2 linked regions of the Schizosaccharomyces pombe genome follow. The gene in region 2 interacts genetically with the main gene of each other region. Each region holds a gene or a part of one and is shown on either strand. Other genes may lie near its edges.

Evidence for each region. A genetic interaction does not mean that the proteins touch.
Region 1: mutations in mam301 (region 2) and luc7 together harm fitness more than expected from each alone (negative genetic interaction), as found in Schizosaccharomyces pombe (one large-scale study listed by BioGRID).

The regions. Positions count from the first base shown.
Region 1 is NC_003421.2:889,847-894,909, forward strand, and holds luc7 (U1 snRNP-associated protein Luc7), read left to right. Parts: upstream 1-2,665; 5' UTR 2,666-2,873; coding exon 2,874-3,668; 3' UTR 3,669-3,990; downstream 3,991-5,063. Other genes in the region: ubiquitin hydrolase Ubp1, read right to left, coding at 1-1,820, 2,046-2,365; RSC complex subunit Sfh1, read left to right, coding at 4,325-5,063. UniProt on the Schizosaccharomyces pombe protein: Component of the U1 snRNP particle, which recognizes and binds the 5'-splice site of pre-mRNA. Together with other non-snRNP factors, U1 snRNP forms the spliceosomal commitment complex, that targets pre-mRNA to the splicing pathway.
Region 2 is NC_003421.2:1,170,850-1,176,987, forward strand, and holds mam301 (protein Mam30), read left to right. Parts: upstream 1-2,590; 5' UTR 2,591-2,640; coding exon 2,641-4,680; 3' UTR 4,681-4,801; downstream 4,802-6,138. Other genes in the region: nte1 (lysophospholipase), read left to right, coding at 1-1,937; transport protein Got1, read left to right, coding at 5,910-5,931, 5,977-6,023, 6,104-6,138.

The sequences.
Region 1 (5,063 bases), 280 kb from region 2:
GACAATACCAGGAATCCTGTAAATCAAGCTGCTCTGGCTTGGAAAACTCCAGTAAACAATCTTCAAGGGTGATGGACTCCATATGGAACTGAATTTTTTCAAATATCCATTCGCAGTTATAAAATAACTTTTCATATTGTTGATCGTTCCATAGACACATAATTACAGTTTTGTCGTCAATAACGATTTCCTCTTCCTCCACTATTTCAAACCTTTTAACCTCAATTTCCTTTATGCATTCCCATTTCCCGGCCTTACTTTCCATCCGCTTCAGTCCAAGCTGAAGAGTTCCGATTGCTACGTCTATGCCTGCATAAACTCGATACAGTTCGACAATCTCTTTCACTAAATCATTTGTGAGTACATTTCGAGAACGGACGTTGAGTTGTAAAGGAAATCCAAACACATCGTTAGACTGGTATGATCCGGGCATTGCCGGTCGTTTACATCCATGGACGATAGGTATTGTTAATCCGTTTGCAGTACTTCCATAAAGTACAACATGATCCCATTTATGAATTTTTTTAGATATTTTGTCTTTATTTTTCAATACCTTGTACACCTTTCCCCGATAAATGTCACAAGCAGTAAGTTCCCCGCATTCGAGTCCCATCTTTTGAAGCTTTTCCGTAGCTTGAAACTTCATTTGGATTACCGTACTTTCCATGAGAAGCTCCAAATACAATTCCACAGGACTCTGTGTGCCAAATGGCGGGACGTACACTACCTTGTGTCGCCATTTTGCACTAGTAGGAAGTGGAAGAGTAAGATACATGAACGGATCAAACGCAGTTGATTTTTGATAGCATATGGAGCACTCTAAGGTGCTTTTATACATTCCTTGAAACAACTGAACAATTATGGAATCATTTCGTTTTGTATGAATATCCCAACATTGATTTGCAACTCTCTGAACATGTAATGGGTGTTCGTCAAATAAATCTGGCCTTTCAAAGTATGGTTTTATCTGAATTCGATTCAAATCTTCGTGTAACCCGTCTAAGAAAAAGGCGATGAATTCCTGAGAATCTTGCTGACGATATCCAGAAAAATAGGTATTAAACTCGCCAATTATAAATTTGAAAGAACTAGGTGACACCGAGTGCATATCAGCAGTATGATGGATCATCTTCAGTAGACTAGCATAAGACAAGGCAACTTTCCCCATCATTCCCAACGGATTGTTGTAATTAATATCCTTTTCATAAGAATCACTAAGAAAATATTTTGTAAGTTCGTGTGTATGTATCATACATTGAAGGGCAGAATTCATATAGCATGAATTACCCAAATTGTAAAGACCGCAGAGTCCGATTTCTTTATTTATTGTTAAATTTTGCTCTTTGGTTATAGAGTCAGATAACCACTCTCCGTTAGGATGTTGAAACTCGAGCAATAAGCTTCCATCGGCAATATCTATTTCGAAAATAGTCATGCAAACAGCATACTCGGAAAGCAAAGCAATCGCAGGTTGATCATTGAACTCCGACAAACTTACAAACCTAGAAGATAGATTACTTTTGTTTAGATACCATAAACGGAAAGAAGTACCATCAGATATTTGGAAAGCTTCCATCACTTGTTTGTACAAAGACCGAAGGGTATCACTTCGGGAAAAGCTAAACGCATAGGGTTCATCACTATGATATGGTTCATCAATTTGGTATAATGGTGAATAGCTCGTGTTTTCACCGTTTATTGGGTCGAATAAAACGTGCAAAGTAAAGTTTATAGGATAGATATCTACGAATGGCTTTTGCTCAGCAGCCAATCCTACCAAAAGAACTTTTCGCTCTATAGCTAGACCTTCTAATCCAAACCTATATTTGAGTTAGCTAATAACATAATGGGAATTGAAAAGAGGCCTCAAAATCCAAGGGAACCTATATATTTAGGCACCGTGGGAAGTAATGCAAACTACATAAATTAATGAAATATTCAAAACTAAGACACAATGCTTTCAAAACATATATGAATATGAGTTTTGAATTTAATTAATAATGCCTTTTACAAGTACTGTAGAGACCTTTAAAGAAAATTCATACCACTCAACAAGCATATGCCATAGCGAAGCAGAGACAATGCTATAATCAATAGATTCCTCCAAAGAATGTTTAAGCTCGTTTTTTTCATCCAGCAGCCTCCATTGAGTTATAGGACCAGGGTTGTCGCCTTCTCCATATATAAAGTCAACGTATCCTTCGAACCAGTCATAGTCAATTAAAAAGGCAGTTTTTTCTTTTTTCCATTTTTCTTTATCCTCTTTAATTAAATTTATCGAATCTTGGAACGGCAATGAAGCAGGTTGGTCGATCCAAATTTGGGAATATCGAGTGCTTGCGTTTTGAGTAGCAGTTGATGCCATTCTCAAAACATGGTCATTTATTCGTTATATTTTTGTTTCTTCAAGTTCCACTCTTATAAATTGCAAAAAATTGGGGGAATGGAGTTGTTGGTTTAAGTAAACTTGTTGTACCAAATGGTGAAAAAGGATTTATACAGGTGACGCATATTGCTGCCCTCTGTCAAGTTTGAGTTTTCAACAACAATTTGTAAAAGTTGATCTAATCGAAAGAATAAAGTATCAATATATTGCCTCGTCTATATTTAACGATTTAGAAATAGCAACTTTTGAACTTTTCCGGGAAATTTTTTTTTGAATTTTAACCCAACAAGCTACTCAAATTACATCTCAATCAAATTTGAGCGATTGTAAACTTTAATTTTGATTTAATTGTGAATAAAGGAAAAAATTCTTTATACTACTTGTAAAACCTAGTGAAATTTTCTATTCATTTTACAGCGTTTGTCGAAAACCCACAAATAGGACATCAGCAGAGATAAAATTACATTTTGCCGAAAATACACTTATTATGGCCGCTGAACAGAGGAAAATCATAGAACAGTTGATGGGCAGTAATTTGAGTAACTTTACCTCTCGAGGCCTAGTACATTTCACTGATCGCAAAGTTTGCAGAAGCTTTTTATGTGGTATTTGTCCTCATGATATATTTACAAATACTAAAATGGATTTGGGGCCTTGTCCAAAGATCCACAGTGACAAGTTGAAGTCGGATTATGAACGGGCTAGTTATTCACATGACTATGGCTACGAGTGGGATTATCTGGAAGACCTAGAAAGACATGTTGATGACTGTAATAAGCGTATTGATATTGCTGAAGCTCGTAGAGAAAAAACAAAAGAGGAGGAAGAACGGATAGATGAGCTAATGCGAGATATAATACATACCGACCATTCAATTGAAGTTATTATTACAGAAATGGAGGCGCTTGCAAAAAGAAAATTAGTGAATGATGCAGTTAAACATTTTATTGAGCTTAATAGGTTGAAGACATACAGGAAAGAATTATATGATGAAGTGATTTCCATGAATGAAATTCCCAGTCAGGCTAGCACAACGCATCAAAAGCTACAAGTATGTGATATTTGTAGCGCTTATCTTTCAAGATTAGACAACGATCGTCGTTTAGCTGATCACTTCTCAGGAAAAATGCATCTTGGATATGCCATGCTGCGAAATATTGCTAGGGATCTTCGAGCTCAATTAGAGGACCGTGAAAAATCCCGTGATAAAAAGGACGGAGAGAAACAAAGAGATAATTTAGCTTCTTTTGAAGATAAAATCTCAACTTCCTTTGTTGCATAACCTACATTTCGTAATGAAAAAGTGGAGGATCTCAACTAACCGCCTTTATTCGCTTAGTGATGCCTTTTACGCAGACCTATATAGAATCTTATTATTATGTTTACCTTTTTACGTTTATGGTTGTTTCCTTACTTGCTTTTTTACAATATTCTTCATGTCATGCACAAAATAAGTGTACCTCTTATATTTTATATTCGTTTATTTCTAATCTCACAAGGTATATTGATATATGTATTTCAATTTGAATAACAGCTATAAGTATATCCTTAAAATAAAGCAGGAATAAACTCTTTGCCTTAATATTGTCGTACTAACCCAACCATCCTTACTTGTCCTTCAGCAACTGTTTGTTTTGGAGAATCTGAAATCGAAAGGAGTCAAACTATTTTACTAAATTAACTTTTTATTTTATTTTGTATAGATATCCTTGAAAATTCTGTGATTCGAAAGTCCAGTGGCAATGTAGAAGTATTAAACGTTTATCAACGGTTCTACCAAATCAGGGCCGATAAAAGAACTCTCGATTATAATTTACGTTTAATACAATCATATAGAATAAATAAAAACATAACATAGTACTTCCAACTGTAAATTGACTTGCGGCTTACATAGTGTTTTTTGGCATACTTGTGCAAACTACCGACTTCACAATTTACATGGCTCAAGCTTGTAAAACCACATACTCATCTCGTTTGAAAACGGGAAATACATGCTTAATCCAAAAAAATGTTGCAGTATCGACTAGGTCGCATTCTTCGTATACAGGCAGAAATTCGTTGAGAAATGTTCCAGCGGTTAATTACGCCGCATTCGAACAAGGTGAGGATTTTGAAACGCCAGTAGAAACTCCAGAAAAAGAAGAGGAAAAGTTCGAAACGGATGATCGGGGGCTGGCAGTTGGCAGACCAACCGGAAACAACATCTATCCAAGATTCGCGACTAAAACAAGACATATTTACGTTACAGACGAACAGCTTAAATGCGCTGCAGAAGAACGAGATGTATACATACCAATACGGCTGGATATTGAACTGCCCAACAATTATCGACTCAAGGACACGTTTTTATGGAACATGAACGAGCAAGTAATGACACCGGATGTGTTTGCTCAAATCTTGTGTGCCGATTTAGATTTATCTACGAATGTATATGGAACGCAAATTAGTTCCAGTATTCGTGCACAAATCGAAGAGTATGCACCGGTGGCTGAGGTGCCTATGCCAAAGGGGCAGGAAATGCTCGTTGTATTCAATATCCAAGTTCAACTTGCTCAGTTAAGCTACAATGATCAGGTGGAATGGAATTTAACGAGTCCTCTTACACCTGAGGAATTTAGTGTATTAACCTGCAACGATTTGGGGCTTTCTGGGGAATCTCGACCAGAAATTGCCTATG
Region 2 (6,138 bases):
ATCCCAGTGATTGCGTTTATGTGGTTTTAAACGGACGTTTGCGTTCAATTGAGGATGAACGCGGAAGCGCTAGAACTCAAGTGGATTACTTTAACGAGTATGGAAAAGGAGACAGTGTGGGAGAACTAGAAATGCTATTAAATAATCGCAGAAGTAGTACCCTTTTTGCCATTCGTGATTCTGAGTTGGCTAAAATTCCCGAAACCCTTTTTAATGCTTTGTCTTTAAGTCATCCTGCTGTTGGTTTACAGTTGTCAAAAATTATTGCAAACAGAATGAATTTGCTTCTTAATAACAAATCTATGGATGGAATGCAACATCAACCACATGAAAAACACAGCATTAGAACTCTAGCTATAGTCCCTTCTTCATCCACAGGTTTGCTCATTCTTTTCTCTCAAAAGCTTACTTCTGTGCTGTCTGTTATGGGAAAGTCGGTGAAGGTACTTAGACAATCTTCGGTTTTAGAGCATTTGGGAAAACATGCATTTAGTCGTATGGGCAGATTTAAGCTTTCAAGTTACCTAAGTGATCTCGAAGACAAATATGATATACTAATATACGTCGCTGATTCTGGTGTGGGCAGCGCTTGGTTGCAAACTTGCATCAGGCAGGCTGACTGTATCTACATTCTTGCTGAAGCCGATCAAAATCCAAATATTGGAGAATATGAGCAACATCTTATTGCTATGAAGTCAACTGCTAGAAAGGAGTTAGTCTTGCTTCACCCCGAAAGATTTTGCCCATCAGGCTTGACAAGACTATGGTTGAAAGAACGACCTTGGGTTTATGCCCATCACCATGTCCAACTACGCATTGGACTTGATAACGAAATATCCCAAAATAATGAGGCTAAGGTATTTTTAAACATTATACGAGCAAAAGTACAAAATTTGCATTATGGCTTTCGAAAGTACATTGATTGGAAGCACTTGCATCCGGTGTACCAAGCGAATCGTGCCCAAGACAGCGATTTTGCTCGTCTAGCCAGAAGGATTTGTGGAAAAGCCATTGCACTTGTTCTTGGTGGGGGTGGAGCTAGAGGCATTTCGCAAATCGGCATTCTATATGCGTTAGAGGAAGCTGGAATTCCATTTGACATTATTGGAGGAACCAGTATTGGAGCCTTTAATGGTGGTCTGTACGCATGGGAGGCGGATCTGGTCCCGATGTTTGGTAGAGCAAAGAAATTTTGCGGACGTATGGCGAACCTATGGCGATTTGTACTGGATGTAACGTATCCACAAGCAGCGTATACCACTGGGCATGAATTTAATCGTGGTATATGGAAGACTTTTGGGGAGATACATATTGAAGACTTTTGGTTACCGTTCTACGCCAATACCACTAATATTACCCATTCTCGCATGGACATCCACTCGAGTGGTTATGCGTGGAGATACATTAGGGCTAGTATGTCGCTTGCAGGCCTCGTCCCTCCCATGCTTTCGGATAGTGGGGACATGCTTTTAGACGGTGGTTATATGGATAACTTGACAGTCTCTCATATGCAATCATTAGGTGCGAGCTCAATCTTTGCCATTGATGTAGGTAGTGAAGATTCCCGCGAGCCAATGCATTATGGAGACACAGTGTCCGGTGTTTGGGCCCTGATTTCTCGATGGATTCCATTTATTCCTAAAACATCGTTTCCTTCATTGGCTGAAATTCAATCTCGCCTTACTTATGTTACTAGTGTTGCGACAGGTGAAAAGGTAAAATCGATGCCTGGATGCTTTTACATGCGACCTCCTGTTAAAGATTTTCCGACTTTGGAATTTGGAAGTTTCGAAAAAATCTATAACGTCGGCTACAATTACGGAAAAGAGTATGTCGAAAAATTGAAGACATCTCACAAATTAGATGATATTCTTTCTCCACGCGATACATCCAAGCGTCATCCCAAGTTTTTGTCTTCAAGACGTAATTCTTTGTAAGAAGGGTAAGATTTCGCATTTACTATGTTTAATCAGAACCGCATATGAAAGGTTTGCATAACGATCTCATGCACGTACTCTAGCAATACTTCGAATTAAATCATTAAACTTCGGAAGCGCTTACTATTATGAATAAAATTGACTATTTTATGAGAATCTCGGCAAAACCTGTGGCTTCTTTTAGTTAATACCCAGTTTGACCGATGGTAAATAAAGTTATTTTTTACTTTAGATTTATGAAAATTACTTTTCATCTCGTGCAGCTTTATTTTGCATACTTATCAAACCCCGGCATCTGCAATATTACACGTTTAAGCGACGAGATAGCGTTATCTTCCCAACGGTATTGAGTATATATATAGGCTCCCCCCCCAGCGTTTTAGTTCATCTTTACCTTCAACGTTAGATTGAACACCATTTTACCAAAAGATGATACACAAGCAATGATCATAGAATTTTATCAAGGAGTTTCGAAGATATATTAGTACTAATATTTACGAGATTTAATAGCAATACTATATTGTCCATTGTTTATTGTTACGTTACGTTAAATAATAAAAAGGTTATGATGCTAAAGTTCGCTAAAATTATTTAGTGTAATGCGCTATATGTGAGATTAAGGGTTAGATACGAAAACGCCTAACCTTTTTTCTACCACTTTCAGTGTGTCTAACCAGAATCTATTGATTTTGGTAGGAAGAGTATGTCCCTATTGAGAATTCGAAAAGCCAGTTTGTATGGCTTTTCAACAGTTTTCATATTATTGCAGAGTTATGCGGTTGCATATCCTTTAAGGGCGTTTAGACAGAATGATGGAATTGGCATTGCAATGAATCCTTCTCAAGATGGAGGTTTCGTTAGTGCTGAAAAGGATTCGGATTTTGAGTATTGGATGAAGCTAATTATTAGCGCTGTTTTGATTTTGTTAGGAGGTGTATTTGCTGGGTTAACTATTGGTCTAATGGGTTGTGATGATCTTCACCTTCAAGTTCTTGAACAAAGTGGAGATGCAAGCGAACGTGTACACGCCAGAAAGGTTTTGAAGTTGCTAAGAAGAGGTAAGCACTGGGTATTGGTGACTCTGCTGCTGGGAAACGTGATTGTCAACGAAACCTTGCCCATTGTATTTGATAGTATTATTGGCGGTGGTTGGCCTGCCGTTTTGATTTCCACCGCAATGATCGTTATATTTGGAGAGGTTATTCCTCAAGCTACCTGTGTTCGCTATGGTCTATCGATCGGTGCTAAGCTCGAGCCTATAGTATTATTCATGATGTATTTGTTGTGGCCCATTGCCTATCCTACTGCTTTGATTTTGGATGCTTGTCTAGGCGAATCGCAAAGCACTATGTACAAGAAATCTGGATTGAAAACCCTCGTTACACTTCATCGTGATTTGGGAATTGATAAGTTGAATCAAGATGAAGTCACTATTATTACAGCTGTTTTGGATTTACGAGAAAAGCATGCCGAGAGTATTATGACTCCCATCGAGGATGTTTTTACACTTCCTATGGATCGAATTTTGGATGAAGACCTCATCGGAGAAATTATTTGTGCCGGTTACTCTAGAATACCCGTTCACAAACCTGGATTTCCTCATGATTTCATTGGCATGTTGTTGACAAAAACCCTGATCGGCTATGATCCTGATGATAAATGGCCTGTTGGCAAGTTCGCCCTTGCTACTTTACCTCAAACGTGGCCAAATACATCTTGCCTTGACTTGTTAAATTATTGTCAAGAGGGAAAGAGTCACATGATCCTTATTTCAAATAGTCCTGGTGAGCCTCATGGTGCCATTGGTGTTATAACACTTGAAGATATTATAGAGGAGCTAATTGGTGAGGAAATTATTGATGAAACAGATGTTTATATCGATGTCCACAAAGGCTTGCCCAGAGTTGGTGAGAACAATGATTTTTGGAATCGTATGCTCCATCGTTCGCATTTGAGTACTATGGCTGCTCTTCACAAGAGCCAACGCAGCCATGACCTGGCTGCCAATGAACATGCTCCGATATTGAATCCCAAGAACTCTGCTCTTAATCCCAGATTAGTGACTAATGATCGTGTCAAGGTGAAGAGCCCTTCGCTTATTCAAAGCTCTACTGGTTATGGGTCAATGTCGCAATCACCTTCTCGCTCCGATTTACCGAGCAAAATTTCAAGAGTAAATGCAGAATTGCAGGCGCATGGCAGTCAGCGTTCCAGCATCGATGTTTCCAAGGAAAACAAATCCTCAGTAGCTGATGGTCCGTCTAGTCAAGCTCATAATGGCCCATCTACACAACCTCCTGAAGCTTTACCGAACGGAACTGATCCTTCATCATCAAAAACAACAGAAAACAACGGCAACCAACAATCGGAAAGGACTGAATCAGCTGATGGAAAAAAGGATAATTCCGGAAGCATATCATCGAATTCTTCTAAGACCTTTACAGGTAAGCGTGTAAGGTTAGGAAATGTTATAGAGAGTAATGTTGTATCACCCGATGGAACGAATCGTATTGTTATTGAACCATTTGAGCGCTCAGTAGATCCTAATAATGCTGACATTGTGGAAATGGTAGAACGCAATGGTATTGTTGTTCCCAAGGTTACGGTCACTTCTCATGAGGACGATGTGGATTCAGTTCATAATACACCTATGAGTGTATCAAGTACACTATCTGTTAAAACGTCATCTTCAAAGGTACCTCGAAATAAGCGGAAACGAAGAAAAGGTAAAAGCAAGAAATAGACGGCTGGATTATTGAATTAGTACTGCTGATACCTTGATACCAGTGTATTACAATCGTTCCTTTGTTTCATTTGTGATTGATTATTTCTATTTATTAAGCTTACTATTTGTCCATTGAGCCAATAAATTAAAGAAATTGGAAAAGCAAACATACACCCCTTTTTGTTTAGTTTGTACTGCGATTAGTTTTAGATTTATTGCTTTAAAGATTTTACAAAACAAGTTTAAAGAATGAAGCTGTTTTGTTCGGACCTGGTAAACATTTTATAATTTATCCCGGCTGTTTAGTCCGATTACACATTGCTGATATTATTTGAATGTTTTCAACTACCTGCTACGAACCTATGCTATGCTTTATGCGTAGCTACGAGAATATTACATTTTTGGGGGGTTTTTAACTTATTTAATTTTTTAGATATGAGAAAGAATAAATTGTCCGCATTTTGAACTAGTATGAAAGTGTTCCCGATTTGCATAAGAGCAAATTAAAGCTTCATTTGAGATTTAACGGCTGTCTTATTTTTTGGACGATGTCGTTTATTCCGAGTGATATTAAAGAGGCACGCTAAGGTGATGAGTAGTAATCTTGCTAAAGTGTAAAGTAAATACACAGTTAGATACAGGGTTGTTTCATAACTAATTGAAAGTCATAAATTCATTGAAATACTACACTTAAAATCTGCTAGGAATGAATACGCTGTACTCCTTCCGCCTCTCTATTGTAGCAACGCAGTTTGATATATGTTTTAACAGTACGTAGTACTGCGGTGAGTTACCTTTGTGATTTATTTATTGCAATACGTAGGTAAAGCAACTGAGTATAGGTATTATACTATATAAACTGTATTGTTACCTATCACAATATACTTATAATTAAACTGAGGGACGACGAGGTTCAGTTGAAGCTCTATTTATAATCTTCCTAATCGTTATTATTATCTTTTTATATAGATCTATATTTGCTCTTAATTCTCAAAAAAAAAGAAAGACCTCAAATGATTTTAACATATCGTATATAGTGATACGCAACGTAGTATCAAAGTGTAGTGTTTTATTGATGACACTATTTTAATTACAGTATTGTTTCGTTCTCGGTATTTTCTTTCTCACGCAGACTATGTTTATTATCTCAAACAGTATAATCTTAAAAAATACATACTAGATTTACTTTCTAAGCCTTAGAAAATACGCTCAATCAACATTCAAAAATTTGTATTTAGAGAATAAAAATGTGGCTATCGGATTTACAGAGTATTTTTTTAATTTCAGGAAAATAAGTTTTAACTGTTTTTATAGAAATTGGGGTCGGTACGACTGCCTTGGGATTTTTGTTCATGATTATGGTAAACATGAATTCTCTTTCGCTACCAAGTGAAATGGATCATCAAATTGACAGAATAAAGTCATAATGCTAACATTTTAGGGAATTTTCATGTTTTTTGATGGACCTCTATTGTC